Linked DNA regions of Arabidopsis thaliana. The protein of the gene in region 2 interacts with the protein of the main gene of each other region in a pairwise test. Each region holds a gene or a part of one and is shown on either strand. Other genes may lie near its edges.

What was found.
Region 1: the proteins of LSU2 (region 2) and HUB1 interact in binary tests that used the Arabidopsis thaliana proteins (3 or more experiments, as listed by UniProt).
Region 3: the proteins of LSU2 (region 2) and ZML1 interact in binary tests that used the Arabidopsis thaliana proteins (3 or more experiments, as listed by UniProt).

What each region holds. Positions count from the first base shown.
Region 1 is NC_003071.7:18,540,248-18,552,811, reverse strand, and holds HUB1 (histone mono-ubiquitination 1), read left to right. Parts: upstream 1-4,159; 5' UTR 4,160-4,564; coding exon 4,565-4,681; intron 4,682-4,861; coding exon 4,862-5,023; intron 5,024-5,106; coding exon 5,107-5,185; intron 5,186-5,304; coding exon 5,305-5,532; intron 5,533-5,630; coding exon 5,631-5,792; intron 5,793-6,522; coding exon 6,523-6,716; intron 6,717-6,791; coding exon 6,792-6,875; intron 6,876-7,000; coding exon 7,001-7,120; intron 7,121-7,216; coding exon 7,217-7,403; intron 7,404-7,493; coding exon 7,494-7,654; intron 7,655-7,736; coding exon 7,737-7,808; intron 7,809-8,021; coding exon 8,022-8,098; intron 8,099-8,471; coding exon 8,472-8,666; intron 8,667-8,777; coding exon 8,778-8,850; intron 8,851-8,942; coding exon 8,943-9,029; intron 9,030-9,105; coding exon of another isoform or gene 9,106-9,141; exon of another isoform or gene 9,142-9,265; intron 9,266-9,267; coding exon 9,268-9,405; intron 9,406-9,490; coding exon 9,491-9,693; intron 9,694-9,787; coding exon 9,788-9,953; and 4 more. Other genes in the region: ASG3 (SNF2 domain-containing protein / helicase domain-containing protein), read left to right, coding at 1-127, 254-368, 445-469; AT2G44970 (alpha/beta-Hydrolases superfamily protein), read left to right, coding at 793-828, 1,306-1,368, 1,604-1,730, 1,905-2,151, 2,317-2,445, 2,557-2,606, 2,692-2,789, 2,870-3,157 and 1 more. UniProt on the Arabidopsis thaliana protein: E3 ubiquitin-protein ligase that monoubiquitinates H2B to form H2BK143ub1. H2BK143ub1 gives a specific tag for epigenetic transcriptional activation and is also prerequisite for H3K4me and maybe H3K79me.
Region 2 is NC_003076.8:8,438,251-8,445,995, forward strand, and holds LSU2 (response to low sulfur 2), read right to left. Parts: upstream 5,852-7,745; 5' UTR 5,507-5,851; coding exon 5,222-5,506; 3' UTR 5,029-5,221; downstream 1-5,028. Other genes in the region: AT5G24650 (Mitochondrial import inner membrane translocase subunit Tim17/Tim22/Tim23 family protein), read left to right, coding at 1-63, 167-315, 416-478, 570-609; LSU4 (response to low sulfur 4), read right to left, coding at 2,609-2,887. UniProt on the Arabidopsis thaliana protein: May be involved in defense responses monitoring. Probably implicated into osmotic stress signaling.
Region 3 is NC_003074.8:7,418,164-7,428,020, reverse strand, and holds ZML1 (ZIM-like 1), read right to left. Parts: upstream 5,986-9,857; 5' UTR 5,800-5,985; intron 5,200-5,799; 5' UTR 5,190-5,199; coding exon 4,896-5,189; intron 4,780-4,895; coding exon 4,687-4,779; intron 4,614-4,686; coding exon 4,480-4,613; intron 4,392-4,479; coding exon 4,260-4,391; coding exon of another isoform or gene 4,256-4,259; exon of another isoform or gene 3,889-4,255; coding exon 3,783-3,888; intron 3,656-3,782; coding exon 3,584-3,655; intron 3,486-3,583; coding exon 3,423-3,485; 3' UTR 3,116-3,422; downstream 1-3,115. Other genes in the region: ACA9 (autoinhibited Ca(2+)-ATPase 9), read right to left, coding at 77-159, 238-321, 415-486, 568-645, 731-814, 894-964, 1,073-1,142, 1,227-1,316 and 4 more; AT3G21170 (F-box/associated interaction domain protein), read right to left, coding at 6,861-8,048; MNS2 (alpha-mannosidase 2), read left to right, coding at 9,693-9,854. UniProt on the Arabidopsis thaliana protein: Transcriptional activator that specifically binds 5'-GATA-3' or 5'-GAT-3' motifs within gene promoters.

The DNA.
Region 1 (12,564 bases), on a different chromosome or scaffold from region 2:
CTTTGGGTGGCAGTTGCAGTTACACAATCTTACAATTCGAGGCGTAAAGTCCCACGTAGTAGCATTTCAATTCCAGACCTTGAAAGTTGCTTAGCCAAAGCTTCATTCTCTGCTTCTCAGAAATCAGGTACGAACTTAATTACTTTCTTTCTTTAAAGTTTCATCATATTTGGAATTATAAACAAAAGTGCTCCCAAAGAGCTTAACACTTGTGTTGTCATTTCTGGTATGGTAATGTTCTCTCCTCAAAAAGCCTCACTCCACATGCCACGTATTGGTTACCAAGACGGATCAGACCGATCTCAATGGTACACTGTTGAGCGTCTTCTTCGAAAATACTCCTCCATCTTCACCGTCAAAATATTCGTGTAAGTTTATATGTGTCGCCCGTCTTCTTTCTTTTGAATAATCCAAAGCAAACTCATTTTTGTTGCTTTCTTGTAGGTACTATTATCGTCGATCTCCCTGAATCACACAATGGGATAGTCTTTTTGACGCTGTAATATAATTTGCTTTTGGTTGTACATGTAACGGTGTCGTTTGTATGTAGAAGGAAGACTTGTAATTGGGCCCAGTAGTGGCCCATATTAATGTATAATTAAATAATAGCCTAATCTTATAATTCAATCTTGATCACTGAGCCAATTTACACGTGTTGCGTCTCTAGTGCCTCTGGTTCCACGTTGGTCGTCAAAATTGAAATCGCGTTTCTATTTTCTTCACGAGGTTTCTTTTCCCCGCGGCTTAGGACAATATGATCCGAATCGTTGAAGAAACTGTCTCCTTGTGTCTATGTTTCGTTTTGATCCCACATTCCTAAAGCTCCAGGTACCTTTTCTACGTTTCCCGAATTCTGATTAGTTGATTCTTCTTCCTCAATCCGTTCTTCCCAAACTTGTTGCCGATTTTTGGATCCGGTCATCAACTTTGTTGTTTATTTGTCATCAATGCAAAAATTGAGAGCGTCTGTGTTTTCACTTGCATGTTATCAATTCCTAATGTTGTTTGCCGTTTCATTAACCGGATTCGAGACTCTTCCCGCTGGATTTCTTTTTTTCACGTCTTCTTTTCTATTTTTTATGGATTTGGTATTTTGACATGTTAAGCAACCTTCGTTAATCAGTTTAAAATCGGTGCTTTCCGAAATTTTTAGAAGAAACATGGAAGCTTAAAATTTTGAAATTGCTATTTGGAAAAGCTATCATTTCATAGGCTTAGTCTTTGTAATTCTTCTTTACTTGTTGTTCATTGGCATGAATATATGAAGGATTTTATATTTGATTGTGTGTTTGTTTATGTTGTTAGAAATTGATCAAAATGGGAGAAGCTGGTCAATCCAGAGACGGAGAATCTGTCACGCCTCTTGTTGTAAGTATTGTGGCTTCCTTTTCTCACTTTTTAGATAATACTTTCAGAAACTATACTTGCTTTATGCTCTCATCTTAATGGAATTCTGTTTGGAGTCAACTTAACGTTCTCTTGGTTTCTATATCAACGGAAACATATAAGTTGATTAAAATGGGGTTAAAGAGGATATTCGTAATTTTTGGTTCTTTATGCATTGAGACTACCATTCTAATATCAGTAATTTTTCCATGGCCAGGGCGGTGGTAATGGGGACAATGCGGTTGCACCACAAGTGTTTAATTCTTTACCAGCTCTTAATGAAGCTGCTTCTTATATAACTCAAGCAACGTCTTACTTAGGGAGCTGTTTTTCTGACTATTCAGGTACCCTTTCTTTCTATCTGTTGATGTCGTACTCAGTATGCAATTCCACGTTCATATGCTAGGCTTTACTTATGGAAAATATGCTTAGCAGATATTTATGGTGTTAGGATCTTATCGTCACCGTAACATAATTCAGGCTTTGCTTAGCATCTGTTCTTTCAATGCTTTCTTCAGTAGAATATGGTGGCAAGGATACTATTTCCCACCCCCATGAGTTGTTACGATCAACTTCCGGAGTTGACGGGAATTCCCCAGTGAGTGTATGCATTTCGCCTGGTGAAAGGTTTTCAACTTCTTCAGAGGCATCTACATCTGATGCCAACAGCCCGTCGAGGGAATCTACAGAGATTCTGCCACAGGCAACAAATGCAATAGTGACTTCGAATCGGTTAAATTTAAATGGAATTTCAATGTTCCAAGGGTACGTGTACTTTGTATTACAGATACAAATTCCCCATACTAGTAGATATGTAAAATCTTAATACTATGAATATGTGAAACTGAAGCAATACAATAATCTCTATACACTACTACTTCTTGTCAAGTTTTCAGCATTTGGGTGATTGATCTATTTTAATTCAATCAGGCTCATTGAGCGGGCACGGAGGACTGTTCGTGGCTCGGCAGATGACATAGGATGGTTACAGCGTGCCCCGGAGATGCCTCCTGTTGAAGATGGAACTGATAGGTTCAATAAAATTCTGGAAGACATCGGGTATGAATTGGTTGTAGTTGCATGTTTTGTGTGCTTTGTGGCCTTTTCAATATGCTGTTTAACATCCTGTTTTTTACTAAATGGCTGCGTTGATCTGGTTTTTATATCCAGGCATGGTGTACACAGGCTTCCAAATACAGTGGTGTACTTATTGGTTCCAGGTAGCAATTCTTATTCTTTGCTGCCAGCCACTTAAACTACATTACTGTATATTAGGACTCTCAAAATTAGTTGAATTTTTTTTAGGTCTTTTCAGCAATCATGGACCTCTATATTTTGTGGATACGAAAACGAAATTCTCAAAGATGGGTTTGGCGTGTCATATTGCGAAGATTCACAGCGAGGTAATCATAACTAACTCAACTTAGTACAGTTACATTTGGTGTATAGCATACTAATATATGGAGAAATGTTTATATATCAGTCCTCGGTTGAGAAAAATGCGAGAGAGATAAAGGAATACATAGAGGAACTCTGTTGGGGATCTAATAAGCGGGTTCTACTTCTTGGGCATAGCAAAGGAGGCATAGATGCAGCTGCTGCTTTATCACTATACTGGCCTGAACTAAAGGATAAGGTCGCTGGGTTGGTACTGGCGCAGAGTCCATATGGTGGAAGCCCAATAGCTACAGATATCCTCCGTGAAGGACAACTAGGTGATTACGTCAATTTGAGAAAGATGATGGAGATTCTAATCTCCAAAGTCATAAAGGTTTGCAACATTCCTGATCTAACAAAGTCATTTCAGTTGCATTATATCAGCTTCTTGTGATTGCCTGTTAAAATCCTTAGTTAGGTGGAACCGAGAAACTAGGGATAAACCAAAACTTATTTTGTTTCTGGATTCTATTGCTCTGCTGATCTTTCTGATGAATTCCTTGGAACATTGTGAAGGGTGACATTCAAGCATTGGAAGATTTAACATACGAGAGAAGAAAAGAATTCTTGAAGAATCATCCGCTTCCCCGAGAACTCCCCACGGTTTCATTCCGCACAGAAGCTAGCATTAGCCCAGCGGTTCTATCCACTTTATCACACGTAGCACACGCTGAACTTCCTCTGACAAACCAAGCCGCAAAACTGCCAGTGGTAATGCCACTTGGTGCTGCAATGGCTGCTTGCGCTCAGCTACTTCAAGTCAGATACGGTGAAAAGAGTGACGGGCTAGTGACTTGCTGTGACGCAGAGGTTCCTGGTTCTGTGGTTGTTAGACCCAAACGTAAACTAGACCATGCCTGGATGGTGTACTCTTCCTTGAACGAGGTTCCTTTAGAAGCTGATGCTGCTCAAGTTTGTGAAGCGCTCTTAACTTTGCTTGTCCAAGTTGAGCAAGAGAGGCAACAAAAACTCGCAACAAAAATCGATTGATAAACCAAATTGTTTTATTTCTACTTTCGTCTTGAGACTTCAAATTACTGTATTTGTTTCTATCTTTTTGTTTTATTTCTTACTAATTTACTATCAGGTTTGAATCACACGATAACAAAAAAATTATTACAAACGGTAGATTTTATATTTATAAGACTACTTAATTTGCTTCTTTTTTTTTCTTTTATTGTTGATTAATTTTTATTAGAAGATTAGTTATGTTTTTCTCTCTATTCCTTTAACGAACCGTGATCGTGCGGCTCGGATCGTTGGAGATTCTATGGACGGCCGATGCTTATATACTGTAAGTGGAATATGTAATTCCCGAAAGTGCCCTCCAGATGTTCACAAAATTACGCCATCGTACTCGAATTAACTTCAACTCTCTCTTCTCTCTCTCTTTCTTTTCACTCTTGTTTTTGTTTCTGTGAGTGCTGTGTGTGTTCTCGGTTTGTAATATCTAAGTCGCACAAAGATCAGACAAAGTCTGTTTGCGTTTGATAGCATTAGAGTCTGATCGAATTTGGAAGACCTGTGAGATTAGGGTTTCTTTTTGTTTGTTTTTTTTTATTCCGAAGGAGAGCTGCGGAGCAATTGGAATTACCTCGGTTAAAGCAATCACGTAGCTTTGGATCGTTTAGGGTTTTCTCATTGGGTTTGGGGGATTTGTATTCGAGCTTCCTCAAACTCAATCTGATGGTGATGTGAGACAAGGCTTAATCCTGTTAATTGGCGATTCTAGGGTTTTTCAATGGCGAGCACAGGCGAGCCTGACCGTAAAAGGCGTCACTTTAGCTCCATATCACCTTCTGAAGCTGCAGCCGCCGTAAAGAAACAGCCTTTCTTTTGGCCCTCCTCCGAGGACAAGGTTTCTTTCTTCTTCATCTCCCCCTTGTGCATGCCCTTTACATCTATTCTCTTACTTATCCAATCAATCATAGCTTTCCAGCTATTAGAGATTCATATACTGAATGTCTTTTGTCTCGAATTTGGTCTATTTTGGAATTGGGATTCTCTCTCTTAAGGAGTTTGTTTTCGTTTGATACAGCTTGATACTGCAGTTCTTCAGTTCCAAAATCTTAAGCTATCACAAAAGCTAGAGGCTCAGCAGGTTGAGTGTTCTATTCTTGAGGATAAACTCTCTCAGATCAAGGAAAAACAATTACCATACAACTCCAGTTTGAAGACTGTCCATAAGTCTTGGGAAAAGGTAACACTGAATTTGCTTTCGATTCTAATAGAACTTGGATTAGATCTCTTTTTCTAGAGAACTAATTAATGCTTGTATAGCAGCTTACAGCTTCAGTGGAATCATGCTCTGTTCGTGTGAGTGATTCAAGCAGCGGAGCTCATAGGTTTGTAAACAAGGAGGGTATGAACAACTTAAGCCCGCCTTTTCTTCGTTCTGTTAGTGCTAGGATCTAGTTTAGATTTGGTTTTATATGTTACAAATATGACTTTTTGAAAGGTTAACTTTAAATTGCTACACAGATGGGTCTTCTCCAGCCGTGAAAAACGATTTCATCAACCGGCTACTTGAAACTGGTGCTACTGAGAGCTCCTCATCCAATATCTGCTCGAATCAGATGGAAGAAAATGGAGTGAATACGTCAAGCCAGATGACGCAAACCTTGTATAATCTAGTAGCCGCGACAGAGGATTTGAGGTGTCTGAAGGATGAATTATATCCCACAGTTCTCAGAACCAATCTTGGTAAAGGTATGACTTCCACTGCGATCAATTGTCAGCTCTTGTTATGGCCTTTATAACATTTTAGTATTAACCCAGGTCCTATGTGGAATTGCTTTCTTTTCTAGATTTGTGCGGTCAGCTAGCTCTGAGTGAGTTGGAATCAGAAATTAAAAGTTTCAGAGGGGATCTAGATGATGTACTTGTGAAGTTCAAATCACTTTCTAGAGAATTGCAGAGTCATCGCGATGCTGATGCTAAAGTTAGAGTAGACCTCAAACGAATAAGAGGTAGCTACTTAGTCTCGTCTCACTCGACTATATACTGTTAAAATGGATTTTTTAATTGGCATTGTTTATATGGATATAGTATTCATGCATCAAATGTAAATTTGTAATCATATACGTGGCTTGACAAAAAAAGGTCCTATATACATGAAAAGCTACTGAAATCATATCTCGCTTTTGATTGATGAGGATAAGTGTAAGTAGAGGTGATCAAATTGTGAATCTTCCAATTCCACGCCTGTGTATTTATGTCCAGCACTACTCAGTTGTTTAATAGCCATGATTGGATTTAGATCATAGAGATTAAGATTGAAGAGAGAGATACATTAAGACTGGAAGAAAACCTCTATGGTAGAGCCAGCTGTTAAGAAGACATGTAGCTGTGGAAGATATACTCATTAGCGAACTGATGGGTGTACAAAACCCTTCTGAGACATGAACTTCTTAGTTTTCTTTTATACCATTTACCCATATTTATATATTTCGGTAGATTTTAGGAGATAGAGAAGCTGGTAATTCTTTGAGAATGACATACATCCACATAAGTGAAGCATCTTAATTTTGTTGATAAATTACCCGTTTACCTTAAGATGTAAGATTTCAATACTGACAGTAGCCACAGTTAAGAAATTCAAAGAGTTAAAATTTATTTTAGTTTACATGCCTGCTTTTGGATTAATGCTTCTTGACTACCGCATCAACTGATATTATACTTTATTTGGTCTATTCGAAGGGGAGCTAGAGGATGAGGTTGTGGAGCTTCAGCAGTGTAATGGTGACTTGTCAGCATTGAGAGCAGAAAGGGATGCAACAGCTGGGGCGTTTTTCCCAGTGTTGAGTCTTGGAAATAAGCTTGCTACCAGTGATCGGGAGAGGGATAAACAAAGGGATCTGCAAGACATGGAAACAGTTCTGAAAGAGTTAACGGTATCTTTGTTTTTCTGATTTGTTTTCATTGGTAATTCTTTAAGTTTTGGGTTGATAACGGCCTGGTTTCGGTAGGTCCTGGCTTCAGGCAGGCTACAACAGCTAAAAAATCTTCATGAGGAGAGGACAAAGATGCTTGGAAAAATGAGTAATTTACAGGTCAGTGTATTGATCCAATTGGGGTATTTGTATTAGTTTGTCTCTGTATGGGGTTTGATATATGAAAATTTGTGGAATGGTAGCCTCTTCCTATTGCTAAAACTGATGTAAGAGTTTTCTAACAGAACAAGTCAAAGTCTGTGAGGTGCATCTCATCTTCTCAAGCCTGCCTTTCTTTGAAAGACCAGCTAGAAAAATCCAAAGAAGCAGTTTTCCAGTATATGGCTTTACTTGAGAAACTGCAGGTTATATCTGGTTTGCGATTTTCATTTTGTATCTATGTTTATAAAATTTACGTTGTATATTTAGTTGTGAAGCTTTCCTCCATTCGAAAATTTCAGGTTGAAAAAGATAGTATAGTCTGGAAGGAAAGGGAGATAAATATAAAAAATGAACTAGGTGATGTTTCTCGAAAGACGTCTGCTGTTACTGATTCTAGAATGGCTTCTTTGGATTCGGAGATACAGAAACAACTGGATGAAAAAATGCGAATCAAGACTAGGCTGGGAAATATATCAAGAGAGCGAGGTCACAAATTGATTACTTTGACTTCCAATTCTGTATCTCCCACCCACACCTGTTTCACTTTGGAGTCTGATTAAGTTATTCGTATGTCAGGTAGAAAAGAAATCTTTGCAGATATGAAGGCATTAATTTCTTCGTTCCCCGAGGAAATGAGTTCCATGCGTAGTCAATTAAACAATTATAAAGAGACTGCTGGAGGTATTCATTCTCTGCGGGCTGATGTCCAGTCCCTCTCTGGGGTTCTATGTAGGAAGGTGGGAAATAATGTGAACAGTGATTGATGCTTATTGTTACAGTTTATGTTATGCTTACTTAATAAGCTTAATTGGTGAACAGACAAAAGAGTATGAAGCATTGCAATTGAGATCAGCTGATTATGCTTCTCAGTTAGGTGACCTGAATGCTACGGTATGATGCAATGTATCTACCTTTTTCAGTGTACTGCCCATGACTTATATATGTTGACAGTGTTCATATTGGTTATTGTTACTTTGCATTATTTCTTGGAAAAAGTATAGTGAAAAGGCGGATTAGCAATTTAAATCTTGTTAAATGTCTTTGGTTGGCAAAGTGGTAGTTGTTATGTTCTTTACTTTCAATTGATTGGAGTCTGTCATGCAGGTTTGTGATTTGAAGAACAGTCATGAGGAGTTAAAGTTGTTTCTGGACATGTATAAACGTGAGTCCACTGATGCGAGGTAAGCACAACTATATATAACGATATCTAAGATTTCAATTCTTAGAGAAAAGTTTCCTTATCTTCCCCTTCTCACTGTCCAAATATATAGTATAACAACAAGTGCTGTTATTAATCTTGCCTTCTGACTGAACTATCGAATCTTGCTGAAAGTTTGTTGTTAATTTTTCTTGCGTTTCTGAAGAAACTTATGTTCACATTTTCAATTTATCCATGACAGCTTTTAATATCTGATCTATTTTTACAGTTCCATCTGATAAAAACTCTTTTGGATGTGTTAGGATTTGTTTATCTTCTTATCTTGACTGAACACATTATTATAATGCGGTTGGTATATTGCCTTAAGCATCACTGTCGATAATGTGCTATGGCAGGGACATAGCTGAAGCCAAGGAACAGGAGTACAGGGCTTGGGCTCATGTTCAGAGTTTGAAATCATCCCTTGATGAGCAAAATCTGGAGTTGCGCGTTAAGGCAGCAAATGAAGCTGAAGCCGTTTCCCAACAAATGTTGGCTGCTGCGGAAGCAGAGATTGCTGATTTAAGGCAGAAAATGGATGATTGTAAAAGGTAAATAAGTATAAGTAGAAGTCTGCAATTTATAGATGCAATCACGCAGTTCTTCCATAGGAATTCTTTGAGAGTTTTTTGTTTGACAAGGATAAGTCTTTTCTGTTTCAGGGATGTCGCCAAGCATTCTGATATCTTGAAATCTAAACATGAAGAACATGGAACATATCTTTCTGAAATACAGGTTGGCTTATGAAATTTCGTGTTTCTTTGTTCTTAACATATTTTAAAAACCTTGATGTTGCGTATCGATTTACAGTAACTATATTCTTTTAGACAATTGGAAGTGCCTATGAGGACATTGTACCGCAAAACCAACAGCTTTTGCTTCAAGTTACAGAGAGGGATGACTATAACATCAAGGTATCGTGTCCAAACTCTTCTAGTTCCTCTATCTGATCTATCTCTGTGACTTCTCACTTACTCTTATATCTAGTAGTGTTACATTTATTCAGAGATTGATGGATCGTTTTAATGGGCATGGACCAATTTCTGTGGTTATACCTTGTATGTTTTGCTAGAATATCATGAAAAAAAGGATGGTTTGTTACTTGGATCAGACAATGAGATGTAATTTTTTGCTCGCCCATTGTTGTTTCAGCTTTTCTTGGAAGGCATAACTTCTAGGCAGATGCAAGATACTCTGCTTATCGATAAATACATCATGGATAAGGATATACAGCAAGGCAGTGCATATGCCAGTTTCCTATCCAAGAAATCATCAAGAATTGAAGATCAGGTATATCTGTGTGTGCCCGTATGCTCAAATTGTAAGCCTCCTTATTGTGAGACTTTGACTAAGGTGTTTTTCTTTTTCCTTGCAGTTGAGGTTCTGCACAGATCAGTTTCAGAAACTAGCGGAAGATAAATATCAAAAGTCTGTTTCTCTTGAAAATCTGCAAAAGAAACGTGCAGACATCGGGAATGGCTTGGAACAAGCTAGGTCAAGGCTGGAGGAGTCCCATTCTAAAGTTGAGCAAAGTCGGCTGGATTATGGGGCATTAGAACTGGAACTGGAGATTGAAAGGTAAATCAATTGCTCCCTCCATCTTCTCTATCCTAATTAATAGTCATAAACAAGTGTTAGTGATGAAGGTATCGTTCTTTTCTGCGTATATCAGGTTCAATAGGAGAAGGATAGAGGAGGAAATGGAAATAGCCAAAAAGAAAGTTTCTCGTCTTCGGTCTCTCATAGAAGGATCATCGGCCATTCAAAAGCTCCGACAAGAACTCAGTGAATTTAAAGAAATTCTGAAGTGTAAGGCCTGCAACGATCGCCCAAAAGAGGTAAAGAGTCACTGCTCTCCATTATTTAGATCTCAGCAAGACGCTCAAATCATGATCCCTTGAATCTTTTAGTCAACTGCGTGCGTGATTGCTGATTGGTTTTGGTCTTTGGCTTAACAAACTAGGTGGTGATTACGAAGTGCTACCATTTGTTCTGCAACCCATGTGTGCAAAAGCTCACAGGAACTCGACAAAAGAAGTGTCCAACATGCTCAGCAAGTTTTGGACCAAATGATATTAAACCTATCTACATATGACCGCACCAAAACACTCTGAGCATGATGATGTATGATGAAACTGTGAAACACACACAGGTACTTTTTCTCATATAGGATAAACATTAGATCTCTCTGTAATTATTACTCTCTTTTATTGGGAAAGGTCATGAAGAATAATTGGATATGGCAAATCAGAGTTTTTGAGGAACCATTTTGGGATTTTGATAATGTGATAGAGAATAGGTAACACTGTTAGGGTTTATGTCTTTGGTGATACTTCCTTTTTGTTTGTAATTTGGAACATGGTTTCCGCAATTGATTTTTCAATTAAATCTTCTTTTTTGTTCTACATTTGTGTATGATCCAAACGTTTGTGATGTAGTGTTCTAAGATTCTCAATTTAGAAAACACGAGGCAAGATTTTGGATATTTGTACCATTTGCGATGAATTGCAATCCAATTTGTTTGTTGGCATCTCCAAAGACTTCGATCCTTGGGATCATGATTCGAGATGGTCTTTCACAATCCTAGGTAGGAATTACAAGTATTTTTGGTGGATCTCCAATGACCTTAAATATTATAAGTGAATTTAGTACTAGTGTTTCTCTCTGTAACTACGGTTTGTAAAAGTGGGTTAAAACCAATAGTTGAAAATGTAAGAAAAAGACTAAAATCATTTCATGCATTATCAATTTTGAGCTTTAACATACAACTTCGGAATGTACCGTAAAAGTATTTTAGATGGCCTCAATACCATGTTTTCCCAATAATACTTGCTCCTTTAGCCCTTTACATTTCAAGTATTGCAAGTGTTTCCTCTTCCCGCAAGACATGATCATTGGTATTTGCCGCACATGTTCTTTTTCTCTTTTCTTTCTTTTAAAAAAATGGCTGAGAGGTGAAAAGAAAGAGTTAATTTATTTGAACAATATGCTCTTAATTATTTTCTTCTTCGTATTGTTATTCTCTTCTGCTACTGCTTTGAGTTTGGTCTTTCTAATTGCTTGCTTTTTCTTTTCTTGGCCACTTTATTCCCAAAGATAAAGATCACATGTTTTAGCTCCATTCTGCTTCTATCTCTCGGGATCTATATACATATACGTCTGTATATCACTAATTTGATTAAAATATCAAAAGTGCAGATTGTGGTAGAAATATGTTGTTTGTGTTACAAACAAGACCATTCATTATAAATTATAATAGTAAGAAATTAAATACGTTTCTTATAGTAAGGAAATTCATGACTATATTATTATTTAACAATGCAACTATACATAAGAATCGTTAGCAAAATATTTAGTAATAAGTTTTCCTTGTTCCTATTTTTTCGTTGTTATATTTACGAACATTTTGACACATTATCTATATATATTATACAGTGGTTTTTGTTTTTGTTTTTGAGGTAAAACTGTAAAAGAGAAAGAAAATAGCTTAAACCAACAAGAAATAAAATAAGGTCACGCACATAAATAAGTAAACTAAGACCAACAAGAAAATAGCTTAATACACTGTCAACCTGCATTTTTCTCTTTTAAAAGCATAATATTGACGAAAGAGGAAAACAATCATACACTTAGTATCTTAATTACTTTTCCTAAAGCACTACGACTCCATTTTCTTCAATTTTATCTTTTTTGTGGAACTTGATTTTTTTTTTTTAATACAACTATACACATTTCAAATCTTTTTCATTTTACTCTATATTTTATTTGGTAACAACAACAAAAAAATCTGATCTTATTAGTCTATTATACTTGTTGAAATTAATTACCTTGAAAATAGTGTCACGGGACAAGATCAATTTCGATCCAAATAATTCGAATTTATGATAAAAATTAAGTTTGTATACTATTTTCAACATTTTCAATATAATTAGCTCCCTCTTGGTATACATAGGGTTCCTTTTCCTTTGCTTTTTTGAATTAGATATATTATTGGTTTTACACATTGCTAGTAAAAAAGAAGAGATAATATATCTATAGTTGTACCGTCCAATAATACGGAACCAGTGGCAAATATCGTAGTCTTAAGAATATAAAATGGACTGATTAAGAGTCTGTCCATAGTTAGGTTTGCATGCCACAAGATGCCAAACAACAAATTCACCTTCTTGTATCTTGTCAGTCAGGTAATCGTCCAAACAATCCAGGTACATACAAAATTTAATCAATGCTATTTTGATTGGTGAAACACTAAAACTGAAACCAAAACTTTTTATGGTTTATCAAAAATATATTTATTAGATGACTCGCTCTTTCTTTGAATATCTATTAATTTGCTACACTTCTAAATTAAAGTTAAAACTGTTTTAAAACGTATAGTCCGCGACTACAGTTGCAAAAAAGAAATTCAAGTCATTGTTATCTTTTTTTTTTTTAAATGCATGTCAGGTA
Region 2 (7,745 bases):
CAGCCTATGAATGCAATCACCACTGCTGCTGGTTTCGCTGTTTTTCAAGGAGTGTTTTTCAAGGTAAGTGATCATATATATAAATAGGAGATAAGACTCTTCTTGAAACTAGGCAGGCATGTCATTAAACATCTGTTTCTATTTTCTTCTTTTCGGTCTTGTTCAGTTGGGTGAAAGGTTCTCTAAACCAAGTGTTGAAGATCCATATTACACCCGGGGAAGATCTATGTTGTTGAAACTGGGTCTAGAGAAGTATGAGAAGAACTTCAAGAAAGGTTTATTAGCTGACCCAACTCTGCCATTGCTCACTGATAGGTAACTATACTGTTTTGAGCTCCAGAGGTTTCATACTCTGTTCCAACTAAAGTTAATTGTCTTAGATCAAAATCTTATGCCCGCTAAATTGTGTGTCCAGCGCGCTAAGAGACGTGAGCATCCCGCCTGGACCAAGGCTACTGATACTTGATCACATCCAAAGGTTCGAATCTAACTGCTCATCGCCCTATTTTGAGAGACATGAATCTGCGAAATGACTGAAGTGAATTGAATTGTGGTGATTATTTATACAGGGACCCTGAGCTAAAGGGCAAGCGGGGAAGTCGTGGTTGAGACTTGAGAGCCTCTCTCCTTCTTCTGCAGAATCTTTGTTGTTGTAAGATGTTATAAGGATCTCAAGCACCTATTATTCTTAAATATTATTGGTTGATGTTGCTAGCAAGAAAAATTGAATACAACCTTAAAATATGGTCGCGATATCTAAAAGTTCACACAAAGTTTTCTATATGTACCTGGAAATAGTTGAATTAATGTATGTATAACCCAATAAAAGCTCTTAATCCAGCAGTAATGTGATCATTTAAAGCCAAACTTTAAATTACCATGTTATTAATTATTTAATTTAACAGAAACCAAAACACATGGATTTTGAGTTTTTAACAAATTTGTTGATGGGTCACCCAACATTTATGTGGTTATCAAAATTCCTATACAGCTTTGCATCATCTTTCTTACTCAAACTAAAAAATATTTTCCACCGTCGGGATTTGAACCCGGAAATGGAAGAATGTTCTTTAATTTTAACCATTGTAATACAACGGATATTTTGTTTAGATTTGAATTTATAGTGTATATATACAATTATGTAAATATTATTAATTTAAAAAAAAAATCCGCAGCCGGGATTTGAACCCGGAAATAGAAGAATGTCCTCAATTTTAACCTTTGTGCTACTACGGATCTTTTGTTTAGATTTGAATTTATAGTGTATATATATAATTATGTTAAGCTTTTATCATAAGATTTTGTTACAGATTTTTAGGACTGAATACAAACTTGTAAAATGAATTAAAGATAGATGGTCGTTAGATGACCATCCTGAATTTCCCTAAAAAACCGTTTACGTTTCACCATTCCAAATTTTGGTTGTAGTTTAGGATTGTATATTTTCTACTTTATTTATGTTAGGCATCACATCCACATCTAAAATCAATTGTTATAAACATATATTCTTGAAAATGACTCAAATTGAAGGCATGTAGATGTGAGGTCATATCTCACATATTGGACTACTTTTTTATTTGCCCACGACTTAGCATATATACAACTTTCTTTTTTTGCTAAGAATATAAATATTTCATAAAAATGAAAACAATTTAAGTTACAATCGATGATTATAGACCTATAGAAATGGTTCCATGGCAAAAAAAAGTAAAAGCATGGAAGCATAAACAATAACTAAAATTCGGTCCATCCACTCAACCAAAGCAGTAAGGCTAAAGGCGTTAGATGAAGCGATGACGATTTTAGTTGTTCTTTACGATATTGTTGCTGGAGAAGAAGGGTTTAAAGCAAGGAGAAGGAGCCTAATTGCATATATACAACTTTCTATTTGGGTTTTACCTTTCGAATTTTTTTCTGGTAAAGATCACATTAGCTCCTTATAGGTCGCCGAATCTTTTGATAAGAAACAAGCTTCCAGCTCGATGTCAAGCTCCTTCTTTAGAAAATTTAGAATTATTTCAAAATAAAATGCATATATTTTGTTTTATTTAAACGTCATCAAACTCTACAAAGACTGAAAACCAATGTTGCATGGGCAGAGAAGTCAACGATTCAACGGAAGACGCATGGATGAAATGGTCCCTAAATAATCTAGGAACACTAAAATCTTTATTTGTAAATAAACGATCAAACTAATCGTTATTTCAATTACTCTAGATTATTCAACAAATGGGATATGAAAAGAAGAGAAACATATTTTTTTTATTAATTGCTTTCAAAATATAAAAGGAATTTAGTTGTCTTTTAAACAAAGTTTGAGTTATTACTAACCAAAAATCGAATATCTTTTGCTTTATTTTCAACAAGATCGATTGTTTTTAAAGATTTACTACGTGATATTTGGATTTTGTTGAAGCGCCCGACTAATCCCAAGATGAGCCAGTAACAACAATGATTTTTTTTTGTTTATATAGAAATTTTCCAAGGAGAAATTCAAGATTTAGACAAAAATAAAAACCTCTACATATTTGGCAATGATATAAACCAATTTGAGGATACATATATGATCCAACAATCTAAGAACCTATCCTTTACACAAATATCTATTCTAGGGAGAGGCAGAGTCGGAGGAGAAACGAGAGAGCTGGTTTGTTAGAAAGATGATGCGAGTGTGGTAATCACGAGCCTGGTCTAAAGATTCGGCTTCAAGCTCGGCAAGCTGAGAGCAAAGATGCTCCTCAGCCTCCTCAGCCACCTGTGTCCTCCTCCACAACTGCAACATCTCTTTCCTCATCTCCTCCACCGCTTTCTCCATCTCTCCGTTCTTCTGTCGTAGCTCCTCTACCTCCGAAGCCGCCACCATCACATAGTTTCCTCCTTTTCCCATTTTCTCTCTTTTTATTTTATGGTTTTTGATGATTTCTCTTTTCTTTGTTTTTGTGTCTCTTTACTTTTTGTTGTTGTTCTTCTTCTTTTGGTAATTGATTGTTCCTTATATAGCCGTTTCTGCGACTAGTCTTTGGGTGGTGGGTATATGTCTAGATTCATTGATATCTCTTGTTTTTCGTTCTTATTTATGGTTAGTTATTTTCCTTCCTCTAGAACATTTTGTTTTTTTAATTATGTTCCGATATACACGTTGGATCCAATAATATAACATGTGAATTCTTTTTAGCAAAACTATTTTGTAGATTTGGGTAGGATATTCGAAAACTTTAGACCAATCCTTTTAAAGGAGACTATATTACTAATGAATCTATTGTAGGCTTTAATAATAGGGAGGCCATAAAATGTACTTCTTTCATTTTCTTTTAATATTTGATTTTAAAGTTTTTGCATACCGATTAACGAATTATTTTTGATCATTGTGGGTTGAAGTATTAAATTGTTGCACATAATATTGTAGTATTTGGTAATTTTGACTCTTATGTTACGTAATAATAGTACTACAGAGTAATGAATCTCCTTGTAATTCTTATTTTCACATCTCATTAAGCTTTATGACAAAGATAACGTAATAAATCATATGAAATGTCATTGACGGTGGCTCGTGAGTGGTCGTTGTGTTTGAAAGAGAAAAAAAGAAAGAAAGAAAAACTTGTAGTGTTTCGGTTATACAGACGTTATATAAATCTTATATTCATGACGTTCTCTATTTTGTTTCACTCAAGTATTTTACATAAACGTTTAGCATATAATATGTTTTCAAAAAGAAAAGCTAATAGTCTAATTAGTGACACAAATGACAAACCAATATATATTTCTAAGACTATATAAGATATCAATAAAAGATGACGATATATTTACAAAAGGTAAAACTAGTGGTAAGGTAGCAATACGATAAATAAAAACATGATGATACCACCCGTCTATATACTACCATTTTCTTACCGTCTCACTGAATGGTTATGTACAAGAAGTAGTACACGTTTATACCAACGACGGTAAAACATTATCAGTGAAAAAATGCAGTTTGGCCATCCTAAATTTCCTAAAGAGACCGATTACGTTTCATCATTCAAAACTTTACTTGTAGTTAGAAAAATGGATTATTGTTTTGTTTATGTTAGGTATCACATAGATATCTAGACCAATTAATATAAAACACATACTCATGAAAATGACTCAAAGGCCATATATCATATATGTGATCTTTTTATTTGCCTACCAATTAGCAAATCCTTCTCTTTCGGGTTTAGCTTTCCAATTATTTCAGAAAAAGATCACATGAAATTAGCTCCACCATCCAATAGGTCGCCAAATCTCTAGCCTCTCTGTTTTTTGCTAAGAAATTATGAATGTAAACTTGAATTGCACATAATTGGTTTTTTGTGCACAACTTGCTTATATAAATTAAGTTGGTATTACAAAAGTACACTTAAACACAAAACATTTTGTCAGAAAATCCGTTTTATATGGTTAGAAAGAAATACAAGATAACTATTATCATTCTCATAATTCAAAGAGATCTCCTCTCGGATCATCAGTTTCCAAGTCTCTCCAAAGACAATTCTAGTTATACTTCAAAAAAAAAAACATTATAAATATTTGTTTGTTTTAATTGCATCACAATTTATGAAAAATTAAAGGGTTTTGGTTAACAAAAAAAAAAGACTAGACTTGTTTGCCCACGTCAGGTCACCTGGTTCTGTCAGAAACTAGATTTGTTCAAAAACAAACCCTTTGTTTATATTTGTACATAGTACACTGGCGTTGGATCCGTATATTCGTTTCCCTTTTTTCTCCCAAAAGCAAACCAAGTTCTCCAATTTTACTATGTCAAACTCTAGAAAGACCAAAACCACTGTTGCAATGTCAATGATTCAGTAGAATTCAAACACTTCTTCATATAATACGCAAAAATCTAAAAGCAAAATCTTTATTTGTAATTTGGTCATTTCACATATAATAATAGGAAACATGACCATAATTGCTTTAAATTTTCTTTCTGTTAAAGTAATTTACACGTCTTACAAACAAAATTCCATTTTAGTCAAACCAAACATCGAATATCATTTACTTTAAATTGTTTTCAAGACTTTTCATTCATCATTAATCGCAAAAATCAATCGGTAACAACATCGATTTTTTTTTTTGATTGAAACTTCCATATTTGTTTTAAAGACAACTCTACATATTGGCATTGATATGAGCCGATAAGAGGATACATCAAACAATCTAAAAAACCTATCTTTCTTTAAAAGCAAATATCTATCTAATTCTACGGAGAGGCAGAGGCAGAGTCTGAAGAAAGACGAGAGAGCTCGTTCATGAGAAAGATGATACGAGAGTGGTAATCACGAGCCTGGTCTAAAGATTCTGCTTCAAGCTCGGCTAGCTGTGAGCAGAGACGCTCCTCCGCTTCTTCCGCCACCTGTGTCCGCCGCCACAACTGCAACATCTCTTTCTTCATCTCCTCCACAGCTTTCTCCATCTCTCCGTTCTTCCGTCGTAGCTCGTCCACTTCGGAAGCCGCCACCGTCACATAGTTTCCTCCTTTCCCCATTTTTAAGAACTTTTAAAGGTTTTCTAAAGATTTCTCCTTTTGGTTATTTTGGTCACTTTGAGTTTTTTTGTGTTTTGTTTTGGTTCTTGAACGTTCCTTATTAATAGGCGTCTTTGAGACTGGGGTTTGGGTGGGTTTTATGTCTAGGTTCAATGTATCTATATCTCTTCTTCTTCTTTCTTATTTCTGGTGAGTTATTTTCTTCCTCTAGATTCTAGAACATTTTCTCTTTTAAATTATTTTCGATATACACGTTGGGTCCAATTAATATTTTGGAATATTTTAGTGGTACCATATAATTGTTTTATTGGTTAGAGACAAATTTGTTTTTAGAGGAGACACGAGATAAGTTATAATAAAAATTTATCAATCAATATAGTAAAATGTATTGGTTCAGTCATAATAACTCTTGTCATTTCAATAATACATATGGCAACGGATTTAAAATGAAAAATATTTGTTTAAACTGATATTTTTTTTTTAAAATGGAGTATTTGCTTTCTAAGAATGAATAAATTTCTTTGTCTAATTGAATAAAGTGGATTAAAACATATTTTGGACCATTTTACTTTGATCTAATTGCTATACATATAAAGTAATGAATATTTCATATTTACTGGACCATAAATACTAGTAATTCAATCTATTTATACAAGTCTAAACTGTAGCTCGTAAGTAAAAGTAATGAACAATTCTTACATTATAGCCCCAATGAGCTGTCAATTTCATCAAAGACAACTATATGTTAATAGATCATAATAATACATCGTCTTAATAATGGTCCTAAACTCAGGAATAAGTTGTGCAAATATGTTTTCATATACGCATGTAAAGAAAAGATTGTGACTATTATTGAAATAACATGAGTTATATTTATATCCACCAACTCTTTATCCTCAAAGAGGATATATATATCCGCTGTATTATGCTAACATTACCATTCTTGCACTTGAAAAATGACTTTAATTAATTGAACATTTTATTACCATGAATTGAACAAAATTTCTGAAAATTGCTTCTGAAGCATCCAATTTTCAAGATTTTATATATTCATTCTAAAAACTTAATTCAATAAACTCATGTAACAACAAACTAATCGTTGAATATATTTTCTTCTCGAGAACGTTGACTGGACACTAAAAGAATGAAAGAGTAGTACTATTTGAATTTTCAATGAAACCCCACTTATTTCAAAGGGGAACTTCTTTTTTTTCTTTTTTCTTTCTTTTCTGTTTTGCTATTTCATAGAATATAGAGAAAATAATTGTTTTCCACTATTTCTCTTAATTGCTAAAAGGCATGTAGAAATCATTTTCTCACCTTTATATTTTCCACTAATATATTCCGCCAATTATAGCCATTAATTAACTTGGAGCAAAGCCTTTGTCGATGTAACCCACATTCCCACTTCTTTCTCTTAACTGGAGTATTGGACAATATCTCCCAAAGTCAAGGGCTGTCACGATTATACAGCTATTCTTGTATAGTTAAAGTTACGGCTACGATTCATAGTTCTTAAATTACTTATTAGCTATTTCTTTAGTATCTTTATTGGTGTGTATGGGGAAAACTAAGAAGACTTTGGTTATGAATGGTGTCATGAAGCATAATAAAATAATACGGTGCGGTTTGATTTTACTCTTGGTCATGTTTTTGTGAATCATATTTGGACAACACACCAACCTCAAGAAGTAGGGTGATTCAAGTATAAACTGAAAAATCATAAGCGTTAAATACCGATTAATACAATCATATATATATTTCGAAACTTCAAAACATTAGTCAAAATTTGATAACTCATTTATCCGTTACTCGCACCAAACTAATTAAGATATCTATTCAGCTTTTGTTCTATTCGTTCTACACCATTTATTCTTTACAAACTACATCTGTTATGCTTTATTTGTCTGTTCGTTTTGTTCTATACGTCACCTTATGATGTGTATCTTCGTTTTCCTAGCAAAGGTTGGTCCAAAAAAATTGATGGCCCGAATCAATATTGTTTTTTTCTCTCTTTTTAGCTATAATTCAAAATCTTAAACAATATTGGTTATAAAATTATGTAAAGTTGTGTTAAATATATTGGAAAACACAGAGGGACCGGTCACCAACTGTTGAAATCTTTAGTTGGAATATGCTCTATGGATGCTGATCAGTGACCACTATCTAATTGACTAAAAAAATAATCATCATTCATCCAAAATATCCTAAATAGATTTTAAAACACCCAATTACATCA
Region 3 (9,857 bases), on a different chromosome or scaffold from region 2:
ACTCAATGGTTATAGCCCTCAACATGGCATGAATTTGTAAGCCAAGAGATTTATTGACCAAGGTAAATGAAATTACCTCACAAGAAGAGCCACCAGGACAACAAGAGCCACTGAGAGCCCCACTATCCCTATGAAGGTTGCAAGACCATTTAACCTCACCTGTTACAAGATTACCAAAAGGAAATGTTAGCCTTCTTCAACACATTGTGGAGACCTTAAGTGATCAAGATGATATACCTGCAATGGAGTTTCTTCACCAGTATCTTCTGAGATACTTGCCATCAACAATCCCCACTCAGTGTTGATTCCAACACCAGTAACCTATTGAAACACTCACAAAGAATAACTACTAGGAAGTATGAACAACTATGTGAAAACAGAACTAAGAACAGGACAAAAGTTTCAAAGATTTACCAGCATGTTACCGACTCCGTCAGCTACTTTACAGCCAGACATTAGAAAAGGGGATTTTTGATCCTTGTGAACCTGCAAACAAAGGTCTGTGTTAGCAAATAGAAAGGGAAGATGACCATAAAAATTGCACAAGCAGAACCATAATGAACTCACAATCTTGCTTTCACCGGTCATGCTAGATTCATCAATAGCAAGAGAATGACCACTAATTAGCACTCCATCCGCAGGGACCTATATGAATACAACAATAAATAAGGCCATATAGTCATTTAACTCTGAAGCCATTAGATGGAATATAAAGACAAAGTATACCTACCTGGTCACCTATCCTAAGAGGTATAACATCTCCGACAACAACGTCATAGATTGATATCTTCACTGTTCTCCCTCCTCTCATGACCTGTAAGAGTTTTCGTTTATTTAATCTTCAGCTCAAAAACATGTAATTGCAAAACAAACTAAGATGTTAAAGCAAGCACCTCTAGTTGTATATTTCTTTTTTCATCGTTGAGGTTTTGAAACTGGAGAGATTGGCGATAGTCACTAACAGCTGAAACAATCAAAAGATAAAGTGTAAAGAAAGATTTATCTTAAATGGATTAAGAGCAAGATTGAGAATGTTTTCAAGAATTTATCACAGAAAGAAACATGTATATACCTGTAACAACAATGACAAGCAAAACCGCAAAGGCAATGCTTCCACCATCAAGCCAACCTTCTTTCAAACCCTGATCATGAAGTAATAAGACAGAAAATTAGTACATTCCTGATTTCGAAAAACTAAGAACTTATCGAAAGGAAAGCATGTATACCTCTGTCTTTATTCCCAATGCCAATGATGTTACAGCCGCTATGATCAAGATGATGAGAGTTAAATCTTGCCAAGCTTCCCAGAGGAACATCTTTTGGACAAACAGAAAGTTGAAAAAAAACATATGAGTATCCACAAACCGATAAAAACACGGTCGAAGAAGTTGTAAAAGACTCTTTGCTTACAAAAAAGTTTTTCCCCTTCTTTTTTGGGTAAGTGTTAGATCCAAAAGCATTCTTCCTATCTATCACCTCTTTCTCATCCTCATTGATTCCTTGTTCCATATTTGACTTCAACTTCTCTGCAACACCTTTGACCTGAAAGATATATTAATGTCAGCATCAAGAAACCTTCCTATTTATGGAATGTGTGAGTCTTGAATCATACCCCTCCATATTGCTGCAAATTGGACATGTTCTGGTTCCTTGTCATAGACACAAGCTTTTCAAGATCAATGTCAAAGTTACCAGTAGAAGCTGCTGGTGTTGATGATCCAAACGCTAATTGATACCAAAAGAAACTAAAGATTATTCAACAAGAAACCAGAAAACAAAACAGAGATTTGCTTGACTTATAAGAGATCATACCAATTTGTTGTTCACCAGCCAGTTTAAAAAGCAATGCTGCCTGATTCATAAAAGTGATTTATCGATGTGAGATTCAATTAAACAAACAACATTGTTGTTGAAATGATAGGAAGAATTATATAAAGAAAATACATACCCTAATGACTTGAGCATGAGCTCTGATCATCCTCCTTCGATTATCATAATGTTCTTCTTTATTAAGATCCAAAGTGTATCGAAACCGACGCGATGCGTTCAACACAAGAGCGGCTTGTCTCCAACGACGAAGAGATTCAACAGAAGCGTTCTTGGTGTTATCAATATCAAAAGGATCATCAGGATCATGTTGAAGCTCTTCATGATCAGAATGTTCTTCAGTTTTAGCAGAACCAGCTTCCATGTCGTCATGACGTCCTGACATTGACGTCAGAAGCAATCCGTTGCTCGACGAAGTGCTCATTCTTCCTTCCTTCGTCTCACCCAGCTTTCTTCTTTCTTTTAAAATTCTATTGAAGAATTCGAAACAAAAAACGCAGAGAAAGAAAAAATAGGAACGACCGGTTTTATGATTTGGTCGTTATGGAGAAAAAAAATGATGGTGTGACGGAAGAGAGAAGGCCTAACTCGAGAGAAGGCAACAAAAACCGAAACACTTTCTCTCTTTTTTTTCTCTTACCTCTCTGTCAATCACAGAGAAAAAAAAGAGAAACTAATTTTTGAGTTTCTAACCAACATTAATATTTTGATTTACCCTAAAAAAAAACTATGAAAGAAAATGGAGAGAGGGTTCAAATTGAATGAGATCATTACTATTTTTGGTTTGGTTTGGCAAAATTTGTGGGAAGTTAGTTTTTTTTTGTTTCTTTTTATGGGAAAGAGAAGAAGAAAGAGTTTTTTCCGGGTAAGAAGAAGAAGAAGAACATGGTGGCATCTCTTAACATGGCATATATCTAACCATCTCATTTTTTAAAACAAAAATCTTTCCTTCTTCTCAGATCTAACTATGTTTTCGTTTTGTAATAAGTGGTATACCATTCATCTTTATAACTTATAAAATTATTCTAGTATTCTGATATACTATTGTTCACCTCGTATCATGTGAAGAATGGTACACTAATTATCTTCATACCTTAATCAGTTCTTTCTAATCAAGTTTCCAATAAAGATAATGGAAAAGAATAAAACAATGTGACAGAGAGAATAGTGAAGTTGCTGAGAAATTTCGTTTTAACCTGATGAACGTGTGTACGACATTAAGGTCACTTGGGTTGCACGACATAACCAATCATTGTTTCTATTTTTATACATAGATTGCATTATCTCTACTAAGTCTTAAATATTTAACTAATTGTAATCAAATACAAGAACAAAAAAAAGTTTTCTGCCTGAAAATATAATCAAACACACAGATGAGAGACTGAGCAAAGTTTTTTTTTTCTTTTCTGATGAGTGAGCTTCTAAATAAGTGAAGAGTGTCTTATAATTTGTAGAAGACTAAAATGTGCCCACATAGACTGAGATTAACCCAGAGAAACCCTAAACACAACTCAGATTCGATTCCATCATCAAATGAAATGATAACAACTGTTTTTGTTTGAGATCCTTTCTTGCTTCCAATGGTTTCTCAGTTCTCACTGTGTGTTGCTAATGTCACCAGTTACTTCCATCATTTGATCAGCCTCAAGATTTGCGTCCTGCAACAAAAGTGATTGAGAAAAAAAAAATGAATGTATGTTCTCTTAATAAGCAAATCAAAACTCCAGCTCTATGAAATACTGCGCTCACGGCTCACCTCATTCTTATTCAGAGATAGATGCTGAGGTGTTTGCGGAGGAGGGACTTTGGATAGGTCTCTAAGAGTCCCCTGATATTATAAAGTCAAAGGGAATGTTATTGTTAGGTTCATACTCGGATATATAGGCCTGATCAATGAGTCAAAAAAGTGATACGAGACGAGGTGATCAATGTGAACTAAGAAACTCTTAGCTTACCTTGTTTGCCCACATCAGTCCACACGCATTACAAAGTGTTCTTGGCCCATCAGGTCCACGTCGCATCATTGGAGTTGACTTCTCACTTGTTCCACAGTGTCGACATCTTAACATGTTCACAACCATTTGACGAAGAATAAGAACAGAGACAAGCTTTCCAAGTATACCAAGCTATAAATAAGTTCATATCAACTACAATGACTTAACATGCAACAACATAGTCGGTTCAGTTATTTTTATCCTCTCACAAGTATAAGTTATCAGTTGCAGGTATCGAATGAGTGATGCCATCATGATAAGTATAACTATAAATTTCAGAGTTGACGTATATAGACAAAGTTTATGGAAGTGAAAAGAGCGTCATTAAATGGTTACCAAATAAATTGTTTCCATGTATTAGACTTAATTGAGGTTTTATAACGAGTTCACTAAAGTTAATATAACTGTTGTAAGAAATTTAAAGCATTTTCAACTTACAAAACCTCTGGCTTCTGAGTCTCAGTCCCTTCTACGGCCCAGCTCTGGTTTGACCCCCAATCCGATCCAGTGGATCCAGAATCATCATTGCTTGATTTAGCCGACGTGAACTGACCTTTCTTACGCTGCATTCTGCATGAACAAACAAAACCTTAATTGCAAAACAGACGTATCTCAAAAGCTCGACATACACAAAAGCTAGTACTTGACATAAACGTACCTCAAGGCTACTTCTTTCCTGACTGTATAGCGAATAGTCTTATCAAAGTTCCTCCCTTTTCGTTTCTCCCTAAACCTGAGCAAAGAAGCTAACCGCTGCGGAACGCTAAGCCGTTGAGGAGTACCAGATAGACCCTGGTTCATTTATTAGTCAGCAACAAACTGGGGAATAAACTGATTTCCCATATGGTATTAAATCTTTTATTACCAGTACCCTATTGTTCTGATGAGGTGATCCTAGGGTTGTTGGGAGTGTATGTGGTACTTCCCTTCCACCAAGTAACAAAAGCACAGCTTGAACCTGCATAATATTGAGCAGCACTTCAATAAGCGAAAAACAAAACCAACCAGGTGGATACGTTGACCATATGTATCCAAAACTAAAACATCAAAGAACCAAAATTAACTTAAAGTTACCTTCTCAGGCGAGACACGGTCAAAAACATAAACTTGTCCCTGGAAGGACAATGTCAATTGATCTCCATTTTCAATTCCACGGTCTACAACTTCACCACGATTATCAGCTGAGTTTCCAGGGTGAGAAGGAATGTCTGTCTCCACTCCTTCATCCATCCCACCATCAGCATGGTCATCCATCATACTGTTTTCATTGTCGATATGGTGCAAACCGTGATCTTCATACTGCACATGCATTGGATTTTGCGCTACACCAATGTGCATTCGACCATTTCTTCCATGAAGATCATCCATGGTCTTTTTTCTGCAATTTGTTACCAATTACATCCAAAGGAAGATAACATTAATTAAGACTGGAACGTTCTTAATAACGAAAAAGCGAGATTGTCAGAGACGGTATAGGTTGAAGAAACTCAATAATGGTGGATATATTCTCACATAAATTGAGTTTGCAAATACAAAGAAACTATCTCCACCTAAGGGAAAGGAACTTCATTAATAGTTATCAGCACTGATATAGTACAAAGGAGCTTCTTTTATAACAAGAGTAGATGACAATAATCTAATCTCGAGTAAACAACAACTAACAACAGTCAACTACCTTAAAACGTAACAATATCTACCCAAATCCAGTAAAAAAAGTTTCATCAATCAGATTCGAATTGGAAAAAAAGTCTCCTTCTCTCATGCTCATAAGTCCTAAGCTAAGTCCCAACCTTTAAGCTAAGAACAAATAGACAGAACAATTCCAAATCCCACATATAAATGCTTCCAACTAAAAACCCTCCAAATTCGACAAGTTCATCTACAAACTAGAACCCACTACCTATATCATACATACAAAGACTTGTCACTTGGACAGGGCAATCAAAACAATAAACCAAAATTGACATCAAATGGGTACCTTTTGTGCAGAGGAATCCAAGCGAGAAGAATGAAGAGCCTTTGCAGAGCTAATTCACGCGAAACAATGAAAGATAAAGAGGATTTGATTATACAAAGAGAGAAAAAGGTTTAGGGAAAAATCCCAAAAGGGTAAACGGAGACGAGAGCGAAAAAAGGAAGCTCCTTTGATTTTTTTTTTCTTTTTTGGTCTAATGATTGTAGTGAAAGATTTTTCATTTTTCTTCAGCAAACGTCGTCGTTGTGATCTTGGGCCTTTTTTAGCCAAACGGCGTCGTCTTTGTGAAAGGCTTGACACTCCCTATTCTTTGGACCTCATCTTTAATTGGCCTCTATTTGAGTTCATATGTTTTTCTTTAGTGGTTTCAGGTTTGATCAAGATACACATTTACTCTTAATGATGCCAAAGATATAAAGACATTGGAGATGGTTTAAGGTCGCCAAGGTTTTTCACATAATTCTTTTAATCTCTTTTGTCAAGATATCTTTCTTTTACCAAATGACAATGTGGAATTACATTAGTTAATTCAATTTGTACCCATCTTTAAAAACTTCTTGTTGTTTTGGTTAGAAATCATATATAATTATAATATATCTCTACAAATAAACCATCTTAACACAAAATATCTTAAGTTAGATGGAACCACAACCAATTCTTCGGTGGAAAACAATTGACTCAACTATATCTAATATGTCAGATTTTAAAACTAAATTGCGTTCCTCTTTCATTTCTTAATTCCACAATATACAATTTTATTTTGATTTTATTTGCTTTTCCCTTATTCTTGCACAAAATTTACATATGTTTTGCTCTAATATGTTCTAAGCATTTCTAATTTTTTTCCTTTTCAAAATTTTGGTACTTAATAACTAATTGACCAATTATGAAAATGCCATGTGCCTCGAATTATCCACTAGCAAAAGGGTAGCAACAAGTTATAACTTAGAAATGCGTACATATATCTTACTTATAAAATATCAAGAGTTAGATTAGATAATGCATAGACTAGTGTGACAATTACAAGGCCATGCACTGGCTGACTTGGTGCCTCCTCCAAAGAACTAAATACCATGTTGAATTTGAACCAAACTTGGAACATATATGAGGAGACGTGGGGTAGGAGATAATTCATGTGTAGGTTTTGCACCATGATGATCCAATTCTATGAATTTATCATTTTCCACAATGTGTATGATGTCCTTGGAGTGCCGGTTGGGTCTATGACAAGAAACTACAACAATCTTCTCCTTAACTTGGTATGCGAAGAAACTCACCCCTTCCCTAAAATGACAACGATAGCGTAGACCAACTCCGCCCCGCAGTATTGGGAACTTGCTCCATGACATTGCTCTGGTGTTCTCACTAGTCTTCGTTGCTATCCATAAGTTAACGTTTGTTCCGGTTACGTATGTGTAATTAGTAGATAACATACAAAGTCGTTTCCCTTGTCTAGTCACTGATAAAGCCAAATGACTATCACCCTCTGGGAGAGACTCACTTCCAAATCTCTCTGTTGAGAAATCAAAACTTAGTAAGAATTGTTCACTAATATCAAACCAGTAAGTGATTCCATTTACAGACACGCCACTGGTGATATTTGGATTGAACAAGCCGGTGATCACACCAATACTCCTCCACGAATTAGAGTTAAAGTCATAGATTTCGTACTCGTAACGTTCTTGGCTATTGTTGATAACAAGATCCTCCCCCACGATGTTGTACACGTAACGTTCTTCGCTAGGATTGATAAGACGACCCTGCCTCAAGATTTTGTACTTGTTGCAAGAGGATCTACCGAGAGCATAGCAGTCATCTTTCTTGTAGCAAAATCTTGGTTGAATCCACCTTGTTTCACCTGAAAGCGGATTCCAAACCACCAGTCTATAGTCCTTGGTGGTGCATAGCAATAAGCCATCGCAGTGAAAGACGTGGCCTATATCGACTTCTGTTGAATAATTATTAGAAAGATGTTCTTTTAGGCTAAAATGACATGTTATGTTAACATATGGAGCAACGCTATTGTGAATTCCACGGAGATTGGATCTCACTGAATAAACCTTATGATCAATCAACACGAGAGCCATAGAGTGCCTTGGAGCATTAGAAGAGTGCTTCTTAGAAAGTTTCCCATCTTTGATCAAAGTGTTCCATCGTTTGGATGTTGATCGTAATCGTGCTAGAAATACAGCCGGAACTCTAGAGAGTATCTCCACTACCAAATCCTCCGGAAGGTCGTTGAACGTCATCATCTCTCACACGACTGTGATTAAACCAATTTTCAAAGAATCAAGATGGAGAGACGATAGAATCAAGATTTTTAATCTTCTTCTTTTTTTTTCTTTGATTTACTCTATAAATATGGGAAGATCATTTATATATATAGGAAGGAGGAGATCACGTAATTGTCTTTTATTTTATCCTTTACACTAATAAATATGGAGATTTTTTCTTTTTGTCCACACAGATTTTTAACTTCTTTTTTTCCTAAATTTAATTCTTACTATCTTTCTTTTTTCTCAACATTTATTTATCATTATTAATTTTTTCTATTTCTGTGGTTATAATTTTGTAACATTAAAAGCATATTCAATTAAAATTAAATGTAAATAATTTTATATAAATATGGGAAGATCATTTTTTTTCTTTTTACTTACTCAATAAATATGGGAAGATCATATATATACTTAATATATTTCTATTGTATAACTCAAAATGCTTCTAAGTAATAATTGACTTGTGGGGTTATATCTTTGAACATTATATATCTCTGCCCTACTCCTTTAATTTTTCATGAAGTCATCATACTTACATATTTAATAGACTAATAAATTAAAATGTGTATTTCACTAAAAGTTTGATAAATCAATTCTCATTTTGCATTTGCTAATGTACCTGAATCTATCTACCTATAGTCCCAAGGCACTTGTAAAATAAAATTGGCCTTATGAAATTTTACAAACTAGTATATCCTTGAAAACCAAGATTTTTGATCAAAATGTAAATGAGGCCAGGAACCAAAACCTATCCAGAAAATATCATCTTCCGAGTCAATGAAACCTATGTGACATGCAACTCTATAACCATATCAAATTACACAAAAGACGCAAAGCCAATGTGATAATTAGGATCATTCATAGACCCACCAAGTGTTTCACTGGTCATGGTGTTATAAAAGAAATATGTATGCTTCCTTCACAAAAGAAAACCAACATTACACAACTATTTGTTGTGACTTTCAACTGTTTCAAGACACTAGCTCTGGTCTGGTACTTACCTTTTTGCCTTCTCCAAGACACCTTGTCACAATTCCATGGAGATCGAGACTCACTAATTAAACCCTATAATCAATCAACTTGATAACCAGAGGAGACTGCCGTTGTGTCTAAGCAGAGTCCATCTTTGATAAGAGCGTTCCACCCTTTGGGTGTTGATCGCAATTGTTTCAGAGATACCACCGGAACCCTAGTGAGTATCTCCACAACCAAATCCTCCGGTCCGGAAGATGTACAATGTTTCCCTTCTTCTGTTCTTCATCATCTCTAAAAGCATGTTTTCAGATAACTTGGGATGGAAGTTCTTGGACCTAAAACTTATTCTCATTCATGTGACGTCACAACGCATGCTTTTACTGTGGGCTTCGTCCTAGATTAAATTTGGGCCTCTTCTAAAACAATAAATTACTTTTTGTTTTTCACTTTTTCCTTTTAAGTAAACCAAAATCCAAAACCAATAACCAACCAAACCCAAACCAACTGATTTAAACCGGATCATTCCCTCTCTTTACTCTGATCCGATCTCTTCCTCTCTTTTTAATTCATGGTTTCAATTTCTTCTTCTTCTCCTTTTTCAAAAATTTGTCACCTCCGAGATCAGATCTGATCGTCGGAATTGAGATGGCGAGGAATAAACTTGTAAGTGGTAGTCATGGGATATGGAAATATTTCAACCCAGCGTTTTATCTCCGAAGACCAAGACGTCTTGCTTTGCTCATCATCCTCTTCGTCTCTGTTTCAATGGTTGTTTGGGATCGTCAATCTCTTTCCCGAGACTACCAGGTA